Linked DNA regions of Rattus norvegicus. The protein of the gene in region 2 interacts with the protein of the main gene of each other region in a biochemical or structural test. Links are inferred from orthologs where the notes say so. Each region holds a gene or a part of one and is shown on either strand. Other genes may lie near its edges. The genes, in order: Tor1aip2, Tor1a and Tor1aip1.

Region 1 (5,383 bases), on a different chromosome or scaffold from region 2:
TTTCCTTCTTACCTGCCTGCTGTCTGTCCACTCAACTTCTACCAGTGACTCATCCCTTCTCTATCACTGACCTAGTCAGTAAGTGACCCCTGAGTACAGTTTATGGGTTTAAATGTCACACTACCATTCTTTGTGGTTCACATTGTTTCAGTTTGGCCATTAGGCACTTCTCAACGCCGACCCCTATCCTTCCAATAAGCTTTTCAAAATCCAAGATCTGAACATCCACTTCTATTGGGGAGGCACCATCAAAGTAACAATTAAGACAATAACTTCTGTTGTTAAACCAGGACCTCATCATGTTGCTCTGGTGGTCCCTAAACCTAAAATCTTGCTCTCTTAGCTTACTAAGTAGCTAGTAACAAAGGTTGGTGCTACTGGACCCAGTTTACCACCATTCCTTCACTTCTTTACTATACTCAACTAATCAGCCAAGAATCATTCCACTTCCTGGGAGTTTGTTTGAACTACAAATTTAGACACACCATCCCTGAGACCCATTAGACCTGACTCTCTTAAAAACCCATGGGTCGGGGGCTGGAGAGATGGCTCAGCAGTTAAGAGCACCGACTGTTCTTCTCAAGGTCCTGAGTTCAATTCCCAGCAACCACATGGTGGCTCACAACCATCTGTAATGGGGTTGGGTGTGTCTGAGGACAGCTACAGTGTGCTTATATACATTAAGTAAATAAATAAATCTTAAAAAAAACAAAAACAAACAAACAAACAAACAAACAAAAAAAAACCCCATGGGTCTCATGCCAGATGACCCTCTGAGACAGGGTTAAGTTGCTGAATCTGGAGCTAGCCTGAGGTTACAAGGCAAGCCTGCAGTTACAAGCCACACCTGACTTTTTACTCCTACACTGGGATCTAAACTCAGGTCCCACAAAGTTTAACATTTAAAGAAAACATTTCTCTTTAAAGAAAAGTTAGTTCCCTTTACTATAAAAATACCATGCTTATTACTCTTTTTGAGAAAACAACTTAGAAGTGGGTAGGCGGGCCAGGCCTTCAATCCAGCACTCAGCAGACACAGGAGAATCTCTGAGTTGGAGGCCAGCCTGACCTATGGACAGGTTCCAGGACAGCTAGGGCTACACAGAGAAACCCCGTCCTAAAAAAATAAAATAAAAATCTGCACCACGCCCTGAGTCTAAATTGTATTTTTATCTTCTTCTTCTTTTATTTCCCTATAAAATGTTAAAATGGTGGGCCAAATAGTCAAAGCATAAACACCATTTCTTTTGTGCAGAGAAGTTTGAAGTCAATCCCTAGGATGAATGTAGAATGGCCCGACATCCACAGAAAGTCTACAAATACTGACCGACGGCAATCTCCTTTTCTGCCTGAACCCGAATGGCTGCTTCTGGGCTAACTAGAATTCCATCTTGATGCTGCAGCTGTTCGTAACAACCAGTGCAATGCCACCACCTAGACGGTGGAAAGCAGCACGACACTTAAATGAGAGCAGCATGTAGCCCTACTGAAGCACACAGAAAGGTCTCAAACACTGGCGCTCTTAAGTGGACCTGCAATACTTAAAGCCCTGCTGTTTTGTTCTATCAAGATAGAAAGAGGCAAATCCAGGTAGCTCTGTTAGACCTATCTACACCTTCAGAGTGCAAAAGCTAACATTTTAAATTTGGTTTTGTCAAGTACTAAAGCAGAGTTACTAAAAAGCAATACGATTTGACCTGTAGAAGTTACAAAATTACAGATGAACTTTTTTCATTTCAATCTGGGTTACCAAAATCACATTCTATATATAATCCTTCTAATATTTTATACAGGGGAAAAAACCCAATTAATAATAGCTGTTTTTACTTCTGTACATAAATGATTTCATTAAATATTCTAAATGACCCTACAGTTCTCCACTTTGCTAAGGAAACAGGCTCAGAAGTAGTTATCTGCCAAAGTCCTACGATCCTCAGATAGTACCGGAAGTCCGATCAGTTATGACTCCAAAGTCCACGTATACAGTCACTGTTCAAGATACCCTTACTGACAAACGCTTGTCTTACTGTGCAAAGCTTATGATAAAATATGAGAACTACACTGGAAAACCACTTGTAGGTCAATTGACAAGGGTGTTGGAAACTCAGACCCACGAGGGTGTGGGCTGCAGAAAGCCAAGTGTGTGTGTGCTTTTCATAGTGGCCTTGAAGCTTAATAGGAAACTGAAAGGCAGACAAAGCTTCTCTAAACCAATTTCCCCTTGAGAAATTTAAGGGGCACTTTAGTTCCTTGGGATGGTTTACAATAACTACGTGCAGGACGCAATGCACAACTACAACAGTCAAGTGCTGGTGGCACAACTCTCTATTGAGGAGGCAGAGGCTTGTGCTCTCTGAGGTCACATTAAACTGGCTTAATAGAGGGGTCCAGGGAGGCCAGGGATATAGAATACAGAGATCCTACCTCAGAAAAATAAACTAAAAAAAAAAACCCACAAAACAAGCAAACTAACCAAAAACCCTACTCCTCAAGTGACCAGCTAAATTCTGGTTACTTGTTTATTACAGAAGCTCTAGGTGTGGTACCTCTACATTAGGAGGGAAACTACTAAAAAAAAAAAAAGAGTAAATGAGTCAGCTAAGGTCACATGATAACTGCAACAAACCTCCTTATCTGGGGGTGGACTCTGCATCCAGATCAACAACACTACTTAAGGGCCTCAAAGTTTTCATACACAACCTCAGGTTGTTTTTTTTAAGCTATTCAAAAGGCTTCCTAGAACGTTTTTTATTTTTAGTTTGTCTACTGCGGAAGTTCTTTACTTAAATTATTTTCTATTTGCAAAGGACTTATACAGTATATAAAACTGGTAGTCCTGGGTCCTCGCTGCACGCAGCCTTTAAAAAAACAACAAAAAACCCAACAAAACCCTCTTATACATTTAAATAAGCGGTTTTTAAACCTAAGGACAGGCACTTGGGTGTGGTAGTGCATGCCTTTGATCCCAGCGCTCCAGAGGCAGAGGCAGGAGTTCGGGGCCAGCCAGGGCCAGAAACAGAAACTACCTTCACGGTGGGGGGAGGGGGAGGTAAGGCAAACAAAACAGGCAAATTTAATTAGAAAAGTTAACATCCCTGGATCTATATAAACAAGCATAAAATCTGACAAAGTAGAGACTACCAAAGATTTTGTTCAAAGAAGTTTTTTTGTTTTTTTTAAAAAGCTGGGTATGAAACAGTTGAGTACATAAATAGGTAAGTAAAGTAATTCCGAGTTTCAAAGTTTGTCCATTTCAGCATTACTAGTTACTAACTGAAAAACTTAACTGTTCTATCTTTTAAGGATTAGAAGATTACTGGAATCCTTACGCAGCGAAATAAGAGAAATGAACTCTTACAATAAGAATTCTGGTTTACATTTGAAAACTTTTAAGTAATCTTACCTCTCATCTACAGTCCGTATCAAAAATCTACTCTCACCTTGTTTCGTTTTATGCTTGAAAGATTCCAGGTATGTTTTCTGCACCCTCCCGGAAATTACAGACCCATCCCAACCTACCTCGATTTCTGTTTGTGCCGTAGGGGAGGTGGGGGTGGGGAGGGATCCTTTTTCAAAGACCTTTTGAAAGGAGAAAATAGTAGTTCAGACACTAAAATAATGTTAAAGTTGTGTTTTCGTTTTGCTTACTTACAATTTCCAGCCAGGTTTTAAAATATGGGACAGTCAGGATCAGCGGCGCCACTCGGCTGTCCCTCCTGCTCCACAGCGCTGGTCTGCAACCCCCAGCCGCCACGGCAGAATGTCGCCTGTACCGCCCACGTGACGTGAGCTCCGCAGGGAGGAGCCCGCGGAATGCTGGGATAGGTAGTCCTTTGGCCCCACCTCCCCCAGCTCCTCCCACTAGACTTCCTAGAACGTTAGCACAAGCTTCTGTGCAAGCCTTCCAGCCACAGCCAGCACTATTTCTCAAGGCTGAAGTGACTATGTAAACAGGCTGCAAGACTCTGACCACCTCGTCCCTTATAATAACCTGAAATACAAAGCTTACAAAACCACACGAGGGCAGAAAAGTAAGAGACAGTAAGTGAAGATAGTGGCAAGCACCACTCACTAAGACACGCCTTTGAACCCAGCCTCTTACTCTAACTAGAGGCTATCCTCAAACTGATTGTTTAATCTAAAACTTAGTTTGCGCGTGGGTCAGTGGGGACAAGGCTTCATACCCACGTGAAGTTGTTGTGAGTACCTAAATAGCATGTCTGCTAACAGGCAATAATAGACTAGGTACCAAAAATAGCTCTTATTTTGGGGTTTGGGGGTACAGCCTTCAGTCCCCAGCACTCAGAAGGCAGAGGTGGGCATATCTCCATAAGTTTTACTTTATTGTAAGACAGGATTTAAGTTGACCAGTCTTACCAGGAACTCTTAGAAAACTCTTAAACTCTTAGTTTAAGTCTCAGACTTAAACTCAGCACCCTCTTTCCTGTGCAGGAATTAACAGGCCTGTGCCATCTCTCCAGCCCATCAATTATCTTTTTAAAAAATATTTTACTTATATGTGTATACATGCATCTATGGGAGTTAATGTGAACCATGTTCTTAGAGTTTAAGGAGGCCAGTGGAGGGCATCAGATCACCCAACTGCTGGGGTTACAAGCTATTGTGAGGTACCATATGGGTGCTGGGAGCAATAAGAACAGTTAAGTACTCAAGACTTAGGTAATCAGGCTGGAGAGATGGCTCAGTGGTTAAGAGCACTGACTGCTCTTCCAGAGGTCCTGAGTTCAATTCCCAGCAACCACATGATGGCTCACAACTCTCTGCAATGGGATCTGATGCCCTCTTCTGGTGTGTCTGAAGACAGCTACAGTGTACTTATATATAATAAATAAATCTTTAAAGAAAAAAGTCTTAGGCAATCTCTCTCTAGCCACCCTCCACGCTCTTTCAATAATTAAAAGGAGATTTTTTAAATGTTTTGCCAGGCATGGCATCAGTGACATATATCTGTAATCCTAGCACTTGGGAGGTTGGAGAAAGAGAACCAGGAGGTTTAGGCCAGTCTAGGCTACATTAGTCCCTGTTTCAAAAAGCTCTTCCCATTAAAATACTTTCATTAAAAACGGCTGAAGAGCAATGACTGTTCTTACAGAGGATGGAGGTTTGGTTCTCAGCACACACATGCTGGCTAACAACTGTCTGTAACTCCAATTCTAGGAGATCCAATGCCCTTCTCTGGCCTCCACTGGCACCAGGCGCATACTTGGTACACTGGTATACACGCAGGCAAAACAGTTATACACAATTTTCTTTTTAATTTAAAAGTTGCTTAATTTAGAAAGTCAATATAAAAAGCACAGAATTTCTAGGTATAACTGTTAGCTACACATACCAGTTAATACTTATCAGTAACTTCAATTTC
Region 2 (5,445 bases):
CAAGTTCTCTGAAATAATGACCCTGAGACTCAAGTATAGAGGGGTACCCAGGCCCAGGGCCTCAGCTCTGTTCCCCAACTAGCTCATGTCTCAATGATTCCGCTTTACTCTATGAGTGCCATGCGGCAAGACCTCTCCTTCAGTTTCATGTGTCTCCCTCCAGCTGAGGTCTGGGGCGAATTCCCTGTGCTCCCAACTCAGTTTCTCCGTCCCACCTCCTTAATCCTGCCTCAGCTCATTGGCCTGTCAGCTTTTTATTGACAGGTGATGCTTCCACACACTGCACAAAAGATTCCCTCTACATTACAGAGATCTCAGTGGGGACAATTCTACCAGCTTTGGGTTTCTCTGTTTTTGTGCAGTTTCCCCAGAGCCTCGCTGGTGTTAAGCAAGCCCAGACCCTCAGAACAACTTTACCCCCTCAGGACAATGGCTGGGCTTCTGGAGCACTGTGCTGTGAACATTACAAACATACGCCTTTGGCCTCACAAGCACTTCCGGTATGGACAGCATCATACCCATGCCACAGGGAGGACCCTGAGGCACAGAGCACTTCAGCAGCTTGCCTGAGACAAGAGAATTGGGCCAGGCAGGGTGGGATCTCAGTCTAGCTCTGCCCTATGCCAGAGCTCCAGGTTTGTGACTTTACACTAAAACACACTGAGGCTGTGCCAGTCAGGCCCCAGCTATCCTCACGTATATCGTGGGCATGACAGCCTCTTGGTGAGAGGCAGAAACCCACAAACCCACCATCGCCTCAGCCCTTCCTCTGCAGTCCAGCCTGGGGAAGCACCAATTCAGTCACAGCGCTACACAAGGCTTCCTTAGGGAGTCTGAGCTCGAGTGCTCAGCATTCTGGGAGCGGTGTGGCGAGGCTTTCCTGACGCATTTGGAGACAGATCCCAAGGAACATCACCAGAGACAGACCTATGGCCTCCATCAACACACAGGCTCAGAAGCACACCAAACACAAAATTAAAAAAAAACAAACCAAATGAAAATGATGGTGATGACAGAGTTCAGGGCTGCCCAGGCTACAACCGTGAGCACAGGCAGCTGCCTCAAGAACAAAGCAAACAAACAAACCCACCTTATTGGTATACGGTTGTTTGGTGGGCAGATGCTAAAGAATGCAATCAGGGCCTCAGTGACCCAAAGCCAGCCCTTAGCAAACCCCAGCCAGGTTCTTACAAGATCATCAAGGGGAGACACATAGACCTCTTTAAGCATCTTCCTCAGAAAACTGAGCCCCAATTCTACCTAACATGTGGGTATTTCCACCCACCCTCCTCCTCCTCAAGTGAGCCGGGAGAGCAGGCAGCTATGTATCTTCCTAAAGGACACACGGGAAGCTGTATTGTACATCAGCTTGGGGTTTTCTATCGGCTCCATAACCAGCTTACAGGTTTCCATTTGTATCTAATGTAAGCAGCCACTCGGCAAGCATGGACCACCTCCCTCCTCCAGTAGCTGTTCTCAACCTGCCGGTGGGCCGAGACCCTGGGAGGCTCACTTATCAGCTACCCGCATATCAGATGTTTACATTAAGGTTCATAACAGCAAAATTACAGTTATGAAGTAACACTGAAATCCTTCTATGAGGAACTGAATTAAAGGGTCACAGCATTGGGAAGGTTGAGAAACCTCCGTCCGTAGAGGAACCTTCAGAGACCTCGAGTGGCTGGCTAACACCATGTGGTCAGGGAACATTTCCATAAACTCACTCAGTTGTTAGAATCCAACAGAGAAGGTTTGCCCAGTCTCCTGTCCCAATCTACCAGAGTAACAGACTTCGTGCCAGCGCCCACTACAGCGAGACACTCTTCCAAGCATTGCTCCTTGAACATTTAGAATCTCCTCCCCAAAGCCACTGAGGAAATGATGCCGGGCCCCTACTTTCCTTGCTTCCTCCACCTGCTGCCCTCTCCATTTCTGTCTTCAAAGGGAGGCTTACTATGCAGCCCAGACTAACCTCAAACATGTGATCCTCCTGCCTCAGCCTGCTGGGAATACAGGTGTGTAGGAAAACACCCAGCTGACCTCAGGCACCGAGATTAAACGACCCGCACAAAGCCACACAGATTCAACAACGACGCTCAACAGAAAGGGGAGTGCGCGAACACAGGTGAGGGTGAAACACCATTTTTAAACAGAGTGTCCCTTCATAGGTTATGTGACAGCCCCAACTGCGCAGCTGTAGGAAAGGGCAGGACCTGAATTCAGGTGTGAGCCCGTCAAAGTTAAACTCCAATAGCAGGTTGCAACAGCTGAGTCAAAACAAACTTAGGTCTCCTTTTCACAATGAGGGGAGGGCGGCGACTCCTAAAGACCATGGAGTTGATTGTGACCCCACTTCCACAGCCAAGTGTTACCTTACTGAGCGTTGGTGGTTGGCGGTCACTCGTCTAATTGCTCTGTGTATATCAAACCCTTTGTAACTTACATATCCATCCCCACCGCAGCGGGCCGGGCAGGGTGGGGGTGGGATGGGGTGGAGATATTTAATCCAAAACTTCACACACTCTGGGCAAGTGTTCTACCCTGAGCTACCCCCAGCCCTTGATAGTTCCCTTTGAAACACAGGCTATCCTATCAGCTGCCATTCCTCCCACGGATATGACCACGGCCAGTTCTGTGCACACCTTTTAAAGAGGAATTGACATACTGAGCCATATCGAGGCTCACTCACTGACGTGGAATTCCCACATCCCAGCCCACAACAGAGAAACCCCAATCCCGGGTCATCTACGAAGGCGGCCAATTAATGCTCTTGCCTTATACAGGGTGATGTTAGAGGCGTGGGGGAAGTGTAGCGTGGCCACAAACAGGTGTACATAGTCACTGTTCAGTCCACCCTCGTAAATATTCTCTGCGATGATCTTGCTAGCGAAGTTTTTGCCGGTGCCTGTCCACCCGTGCAGGGAGAGGGTGAGGGGCTTCTTGGGCTTCGGGTTGCTTAGGAAACCAGACACGGCGTTTAAGATGACTCTTTTGGCAAGGTGTTGTCCAAAGAGCTTGTTATCCAGATCCTTCTGCAGCGCTGGGAAAAGAAAGATCACTCTGGTCAGGAGGGAAACAAGCTGGCAAAATGCAGCCCCATTTCCAGGCTGTCAAGGCCCGCGGAGCCTGATCTGGAGAGCGCGGAAGGACCCTGGTACTGCGAACTCTGCCCTTTCCTAGGGGTTGGCCTTGAGATGTCTCGGGCTACTGCCAGGCTGCGCCCCAAAGCTAAGCGGAAGAGGCGCCGTGAGGCCGCCCCGGTGAGCTCTGCGCAGGGCTGACATCCTGTCCCTGGCCCCGACCATTCACCTCCCTGGCCTCTGACCAAAGTCTGTCCTGGCCGCGGCGTCATCCTCCTGCCGCAGCATCCCCGCTGCCTGATGCCCACCTACCCTCACGGCTGAGGCTCCGCTTCTGGCCGCAGCACTCGGCGAAGAGGCAGTAGAGGCGAGGATAGGAGATATAGCCGGTGAGTACGCCGGCTAGGGCCAGACCCAGGCTGATGGGCTCCACCGCACGAACCACGCACGGCACCAGCAGCAGCAGGGCCAGAGTGGCCCGGCCCAGCTTCATGCCCGGACCCGCGCACCTTGCGCGTCTCAGCGCCCACCGTTCCCCGCGCACCGCCCAGACTGGTGTTTCCGGTTCCTGTTGGCGGGGCCGCCCTCTTTGTCCCGGGCAGACCGTCTCCCAACGCTAGTGGCTACCATCTTTGTTAAGGGCAAAGTCCTTTCTGCTTCTGAACCTCGACGTTATAGGAATAATATTGACGTTGTAGGAATGAGGTGATGATGACTGTTTGCCCATCCCCATCAAATAAGCGTGTTTTAGAACCATTTTCTTTAATGGTACAGGCATCTACATGCATGTGGCGCTCATAAACTTGTAGGCATACACACATGCATAAATTAAAACGTAAATGAATAATTTTTTTTCTTTTTTCTTTTTTTTCGGAGCTGGGGACCGAACCCAGGGCCTTGAGCTTGCTAGGCAAGCGCTCTACCACTGAGCTAAATCCCCAACCCCAATAATTTTTAAAATGTGAGTATAATATAGTGGGTCCCCAACTTGTTTCCCTATTATTAAAATCTGACATTTGGTCCAGGTGTGGTGGGTGGTGTGCACCTTCCAACACTCTGGGAGGTAGAGGCAGCAGGATGTCTTCGATGTCTGAATTGGAGGCCACCCTGTGGAATTCTAGGAGCAGCTGGGACTCAACAGTGAGACTGAATCTCAAAAAAAAAAAAAAAAAAGGCGTCTGTATATTATCTGTATATTATACTTGTTAAAAATCCACGACTAGGGCTGGAGAGACGGTTCAACAGTTAAAAGCACTGACTACTCTTCCAGCAGTCCTGAGTTCAATTCCCAGCAACCATGTGGTGGCTCACAACCATCTGTAATGGGATCCGATGCCCTCTTCTGGTATGTATGATGGCTACAGTGTCCTCATACATAAAATAAATAAATCTTTTTTTTTTTTTTTGGTTCTTTTTTTCGGAGCTGGGAAAATAAATAAATCTTTAAAAAAAAGAATCCATGACCAGAATTATTAAATAAAGCCCATAGTTCACCCAGTTTCTTGCTTAGGAAACTGTAGCTGAGTTTCCTCACTACTATGGTGGTACTGAGCAGTGTGTAAGGATGATCCTTGTAGGGGTTGGGGATTTAGCTCAGTGGTAGAGCGCTTGCCTAGGAAGCGCAAGGCCCTGGGTTCGGTCCCCAGCTCCGAAAAAAAGAACCAAAACAAAAACAAACAAACAAAAAAAAAGGATGATCCTTGTATTATTCAAATGCTGACTACGGTGCCCGGTGCCCTCGGACCTGGTTGCAATCCTTATTTTGAGAATCTCCTGTCATCAATGTTGTGTAAACATCGCTCCCCAATTATTCCATGATTGGTCAATAAAGGGCTGATCAGCCAATGACAGAGCAGGAGAAAGGGAGGAAGTGAGAATTTAGCTATGAGGTGGGGGAGTCCAGGCAACATCATAATCATAAAAGAACAGCTAGAGCAGAGAAAGCAATAAAATTCAAGTATCTCAGGGCTATCAAGTAGTTAGATTAGTTTAGAGGATTAAAATAAATGAATACTGCTCAGTTATTGTACTTTAAAGCTGTTAAATAATTCTGTCTCAATTATTTGGGAGCTAGTTGGGTTAAGAGAAAGCTGCAACATTTGTAAATTACCACTAAAAGGGAACACGTTAAGCTCTCCACAGTGCTAACTCCTCAGCTTCTCTTGGGTGCTTTTTAAAATGACTTTGAGAGTTTTGAGAAGTACTAGACACTTGGGGAAGGGGAGTTCTGAGAATGAAACCCAGGGCCTCATGCATTGTAGGCAAATGCTCCATGGAGATATGCCTCAGACCTTCTGTTTCTTGTTTGACTTCATTTTAAGATTTCTTTGGGATGGGGGTGGGGGGATGGGAGCTAGGCTCTAGG
Region 3 (5,531 bases), on a different chromosome or scaffold from region 2:
ACACACTGCATTATGAGCTTAGAATAGAAACACTATAAAATTTATATCCTTTCATTACTGTACATCTAGTAAAGAATTTCTGTGGTTGTTAATTGTATAAATAGGCACTTTACGAAGAAAGCCTTACTGGGAAAGACACAAGTCAGACATTACCAAGAATTAGTTCTTTTCAGCATTTTGTTAAAAAAAAGTCACACATTTTTCAGGATACCGTGAATTTTATTTTTGTTTTTCCTTTAAAAGTTTTTTTTTTTTTTTTTAAAGTGGGACCAAGTGTGGTGGCCCAAACCTTTAATCCTAGCATTTAGGGAAGTAGGCGGATCTCTGTGAGCCTGAGGTCAGTCTGATCTACAGTTCCAGGACAGGAGAGATATATTACATCCCCTTCCCCTTCCCCCTTTTCCCCTTCCCCTTCTCTCTCTCTTACACACACACACACACACACACACACACACACACACACACACACACGTCTTTAAAAAAAGAGGGCATCTGTCTTGTTATGGTTCCTCTAGTTTCTTTGGCTATATTTCTTTGTAGTTAATAAACAATGCTAAATGAAGCTCCAAAAAGGATATATCCTGCCTGACTTGTCATCTAACTCTGTGTTGCTGACCAAATTTATGGACTATTAGTGAAAATTCCAGTAACTAGAAATTTGTCTAAGTTTGAGTAACAGTTTAAGGGCATTATTTAAAATACTGGAAAAGGCAAACACTTTAAATTTTTTCAAAACCACTGGTTAGAAGTGGCTTCCAAATAAAAACTTAAAACCAATTCTTTTAGGGCTGGGGTATAGCTTAATGGTAAAGCACTTGCTTAGTAAGCTTCAGACCCTAGGTTCAGTTCCCAGTATTTGTGGGAGTGGGGGGTGTGTATTCATTTATATATACAAAGTCTTCTAGGAGACACGCTATGTGGTTGGATGTAGGTTTTTCTCAGTAGTAACTCAAGACTTTACAAGTAAACCAACCTTTCTTCTTCAGTTTGTCTAAATTTCGTTACACGCATGTAAGTATGGTACACAGAACTGAAGGTTTTGATCATGTTTTCGTATTCTGTGAATGTAAGAAACTCTAAACAAAATGTAGAGATTATCATATTCAGAATCGAAGTAAAAGATGGCTCTCAAGATTACAGTGCCATCTTTAGTCGGGTACCTGTCCATTTCATACTGTGTCTAAGGCAACATTCAGCCTTCTTTCCCAACAGTGTTGCTGGAGCAGAACTTTCACATAAAAGTTCAGGAATAAGGGCCCATAGGTGAATTAAAAATTTAAACTGGGTAAAAGCAGTTTCATAAAGGTCCTTGAAACTATAATTTTCGCCATGACATGCAAAATTATCTGATCATTTCTCCTCCCAGGGACATTTGAAAAGGAGTGGCCAAAGTAGCAGGGAAACTGCGCAACAGTTTGGGATTAAGAACTGAAGCTTGCCCTTTCCCAGAGCCTCTGGGTGCCAGGACCAGCGCCTCCTGTGGTGGGCAACTGGCCATCAACAGATTAGAACAGGCCACTTGTCCTACCACCTCCTGGTCGCCCCCACCTTCCCCTCCCTCAAGGCCAAGGACAGAGACGTCCTCCTCCCACTTCTCCTCCTCTTTGGTGCCTCCAGCCAGGAGGCGGGAGTGACCCACAGCAGCTGACCCAGCTCGGGCACTGCCTCTTCCACAGCCCTTAAAACACACCATGGGCCCAGAGGCTGGTTTGTGGCACACTAGCGAGGACGCAGGAGGTGGCGCCGGCAACTCTCAACTGCCTCCCTGACCACTGTGACAACCTCCTCGAAGCCATCGCCACCACCTGCAGTGGAATCGAACCGCGGAAAGTCCATCGTCCCTATCGACCAACAGCTACGTAAACAACTATGGCGGGAGAGAGGTGGCGGGCCGAGGGGCTGGGAGAAGGATGGGCCATCTACGTCACACCCAGAGCCCCCATCCGGGAGGGAAGGCGGAGGCTCGCCACTCAAAATGGCGACGGGAGTGACGCGCCTGCGTACGAAACTCATCCGTCGCGCCACGGACGACGGGAAGTGAGGTTTTCAGAAGAGCCGCCAGAAGTGTACGGCGACTTCGAGCCCCGGGCGGCCAAAGAAAGGTCTCCGGGGGAAAGACGAACCCCGCCAGAAAAGTTCCGGTCGGATTCTGCGAAAGAGGAAGTGAGAGAAAGCGCTTACAATCTTCGGTCTCGACAACGGAGGCAGCGGGGACCCCAGGAAGCCGAGGAGATGAAGACGCGGAGGTCTACTCGTCTGGAGCAGCACTCACAGCAGGCGCAGCAGCAGCTGTCACCGGCTACGAGCGGGCGAGGATTACGGGACGCTCAGTCCTTAAGTGAGGACCGCGGAGGTAACAGTCTCGGCTGCCTGCTCGGGAGCGCGCGCGGTGGCGGGCACGGGCGCACGCGGCGTGAGGCGCGCCCCTGTGGAGTCCGGCCCCGCTAGGGTAGTGGTGATGATTCCTTGACCCTTTGGGCTCGCACTCCCGGGCTGAGTCCACCCGGACCTTCAAGAGGGAAGGACGCGCTAATCCGCGCGGAAAGATGGTGGTGCGAAGTGACCCGAGCGGAGGCGGGGAGCTCTGCCCATTCCTGAGCATCAGTTTGGGGGTGTCTACGTCTCTTTTTTTTGTAGACTTTTGCTAAACTAGGCCATTGTCAGGGCTCCTCCAAATTGCTCTGCGCTGTTTCATTTCCGCCCCCTCTGAGGTTTCTACTGAAGCCACTTCCATTTCCTTTTTTTGTATTTTAAATCTCGGGGGCCCCAAGTCCCCTGCTGAAAATTCTGGTTTTAAGTTAACTTTCCAGTCGATTTCTTTTTTTCACCAAGATTGGGAAAACGAGATCTTTTCTAGGCGAACGCTACGAGGAATAGCTAACTTGAATGAATTGACTGTTGATATTACTCCAAGTATATAGTATGGTCTCTGCCATACTTTATCCCAGATTGAAGGCCATCCCTGTAACCTTCAGTAGCTAAACAAATCAAGGCTGAGAAAGTACCGGAACAAAACAAGGCTCTGTTTATTAGGAAAGCTTCTTTTATATGAAGCCCCAAATTCGGACAGGGTGTGTACTGTAGTTTTGGTAAAGCCACAGATGAATCAAATTTCTTCAAGCCACCCTCCCATTCCCTGCTCTCTGAGTCACAGGTGGTTTCCAGTAGGCCCCAGGTAAGTCACCTAATTATGAGGTAAAATTCTGAGGTTTAGACTCACAATGGGATGTCCTTGGTAATAATGGTAGACATCTGATACATCTAAAGAGGAGTGGATTTTCACCTTAGAGCACAGTAAACGGCTTGCAGATTTACCTACTTGCCCTTAAAATCCTGACACACTTGAAGATCTGTTGACTTTAGACTAAACTACGCTTGAGATGTGCACGTTTTTTTGAATGTAACGAGACAGTTTATTTCTTATATATACCAATAGAATTTCTCTTAAGATAGCAAACTTGAAAAAAAGGAACTTGTCATGCATGTATGCCTGCTGGACATTTAGATACTTGGGTTCTGTCTCCTGGGAGGCAATGTAACTATATTTCCTTTTATTGACTTTCCCTCAGAGCCTCCTGCACCTAAATACATTTTACCTTTTACTAAATTTTTGGAGGACTAAAACATTTCTTTTTCCTGCTGATTTTTTTGATTCTGAAACTCATCTTTTTAATTTTCTAAAGTAACATTTTTGTTGTAAAGCAACAATTAGTTTATATTTTGTTTTACTTATATGTGTGTCTGCAGCTGCATGTATCTGATGGCATTTGGTCCCTTGGAGCTGAAGCTACAGAATATTGTAAGCCTTTTGGACTGGTGTGCAGGAATCTTCAAGTTCTCAGAAAGAGCATCAAATGCTCTTTAAGGTTTAAACACTAAACCTTCTCCAGACCTCATTATACTGTATCTTAATAAGATTTCTAATTAGGTTAATTCCCAAGTTTTGAACCTAGAGAAATTGAGTACTTGCATCTCTGTTTATAGATTAGTGTTAAATATGCATACTCTATGCTGTGATCTCTCCCAGCTCATCTAACTTGAATTTTTATCTCTTGTCGTTGCTATAGAGGATGAACCTTCTTCCCAACCTGTTACAAGCCAAACAGTCTCAAAGAAAACTGTCAGGACACCAGAGACTTCAGGTAAGAATAGTTTGTTTTTTTTGTTTTTCTCTTTTCCTGCCAAAGAATCATCAAGAATCATAACTCAAGCTGGATGTGGTGTGACTTTAATCCAAGCACATGGGAGGCAGAGGTAGGCAGATCTCTGTAAGTTCAAGGCGAGCCTGGTCTACAAAGAGAGTTCCAGGATGGCCAGTGCTCTTACAGAGAAATCCTGTCTGAAAAACCATAAATAAATCAATCAATTACAAGAGTTTTGTGAGTCTGTTCGGTTCACTATAGAGCCATGGGGGTACTTCTTAGGACAGAGGAGGGTAAAAACTAAGTGTAAATTCAACTATGTGCTACTTTGTTAATCATCAGAACCTTGCAAGGAGTCTTCTGTCCCCTTAGTAGATGAGAAAACTGAAGCTCAGAGTATCTAAGACTTTTCTAAAATTATGTAATAGACGAGCAAATTAAAAGGCAGGCTTGTCTCTTTTGAAACCTATTCATTTTCCCCAAATGTTCACTTTCAGTCAAGTAATCATTCATAGTGTCACATGGTTGTGTCACAGTGCCCTCTGCTTAGTTGTTTCTGCGATGGTAAAACCCTGGCACAGTGAGTTTCAATTCTGTCAGGCTAAGTACTGTGTTTCTGTGAATCCAGGGTATCAGTCGTAAGGTAGGACAACATCGTTGCTTCTTGTACCACCTAGAAGAGAAGAGATACGGCCAGTTTCCTGGTAATTCATGTTAAGATGCCTTAATTGTATAGTATATGATTTCAGAGATGTTTAAAATGTAATAAAAATTGTCCTAGAAACCCTGTAACAGGGAATTAGGATACATTTAGTAGTTGCTCAAAGTCTGTTTTCCTTGAGTGTGCAGATGCTTATTGTTCACTTGTGGAGCTCAGAGGGAACCTTGTGAAGTAGATTCTCCTCTGTCCTTACATGATTTATGGATATTGAACTCCAGTTGTCAGACTTGGCAGCAAGTGCTTTTACCTACCGAGCCATCCTGTTGGCCTGAGAAAATGAAATTTTATACATAATTTTCTTGACTGAAAACAGCATGTTGAAACGGCTTTATTAAAAGCCCTATACCTTTGAACTCAGAACATCTGAAATGAACATGGCCAGCATTGGTGTTTCATTTAAAATTGGTCTTTCCATTGCTTGGACATTTACAAGATTGAATAGTTAAAGAGTATGTGTTAACTGTTAGGAGGTTGACTCTTAAAAATATATCACAAATTACGTGTGATAGCACATGCCTGTGATCCTGGCACTCGAGAAGCCAAGGCAGGAGGGGTTCTCTGATCTAAAGCCTGTCTATGCTGTGAAGTCAGGAGAAAAAAAATCCAACTTCACACATGGAAGAGATAATCCAATTGATTATATATAATGTATATTTTGGTCCCCCATA

The links.
Region 1: the proteins of Tor1a (region 2) and Tor1aip2 form a complex in vitro, tested with the Homo sapiens proteins (4 studies listed by BioGRID and IntAct, with this or other methods). The link is inferred for Rattus norvegicus from reciprocal best matches to the Homo sapiens genes TOR1A and TOR1AIP2.
Region 3: the proteins of Tor1a (region 2) and Tor1aip1 form a complex in vitro, tested with the Homo sapiens proteins (2 studies listed by BioGRID and IntAct). The link is inferred for Rattus norvegicus from reciprocal best matches to the Homo sapiens genes TOR1A and TOR1AIP1.

Annotation. Positions count from the first base shown.
Region 1 is NC_086031.1:70,778,637-70,784,019, reverse strand, and holds the start of Tor1aip2 (torsin-1A-interacting protein 2), read right to left. Parts: upstream 3,751-5,383; 5' UTR 3,653-3,750; intron 3,580-3,652; exon of another isoform or gene 3,520-3,579; intron 1-3,519. UniProt on the Homo sapiens protein: Required for endoplasmic reticulum integrity. Regulates the distribution of TOR1A between the endoplasmic reticulum and the nuclear envelope as well as induces TOR1A, TOR1B and TOR3A ATPase activity.
Region 2 is NC_086021.1:34,651,807-34,657,251, forward strand, and holds the start of Tor1a (torsin-1A precursor), read right to left. Parts: upstream 3,612-5,445; 5' UTR 3,574-3,611; coding exon 3,393-3,573; intron 3,041-3,392; coding exon 2,775-3,040; intron 1-2,774. UniProt on the Homo sapiens protein: Protein with chaperone functions important for the control of protein folding, processing, stability and localization as well as for the reduction of misfolded protein aggregates.
Region 3 is NC_086031.1:70,772,274-70,777,804, reverse strand, and holds the start of Tor1aip1 (torsin-1A-interacting protein 1), read left to right. Parts: upstream 1-1,681; 5' UTR 1,682-1,869; coding exon 1,870-2,353; intron 2,354-2,802; exon of another isoform or gene 2,803-3,175; intron 3,176-3,244; exon of another isoform or gene 3,245-3,400; intron 3,401-4,067; coding exon 4,068-4,142; intron 4,143-5,531. UniProt on the Homo sapiens protein: Required for nuclear membrane integrity. Induces TOR1A and TOR1B ATPase activity and is required for their location on the nuclear membrane. Binds to A- and B-type lamins. Possible role in membrane attachment and assembly of the nuclear lamina.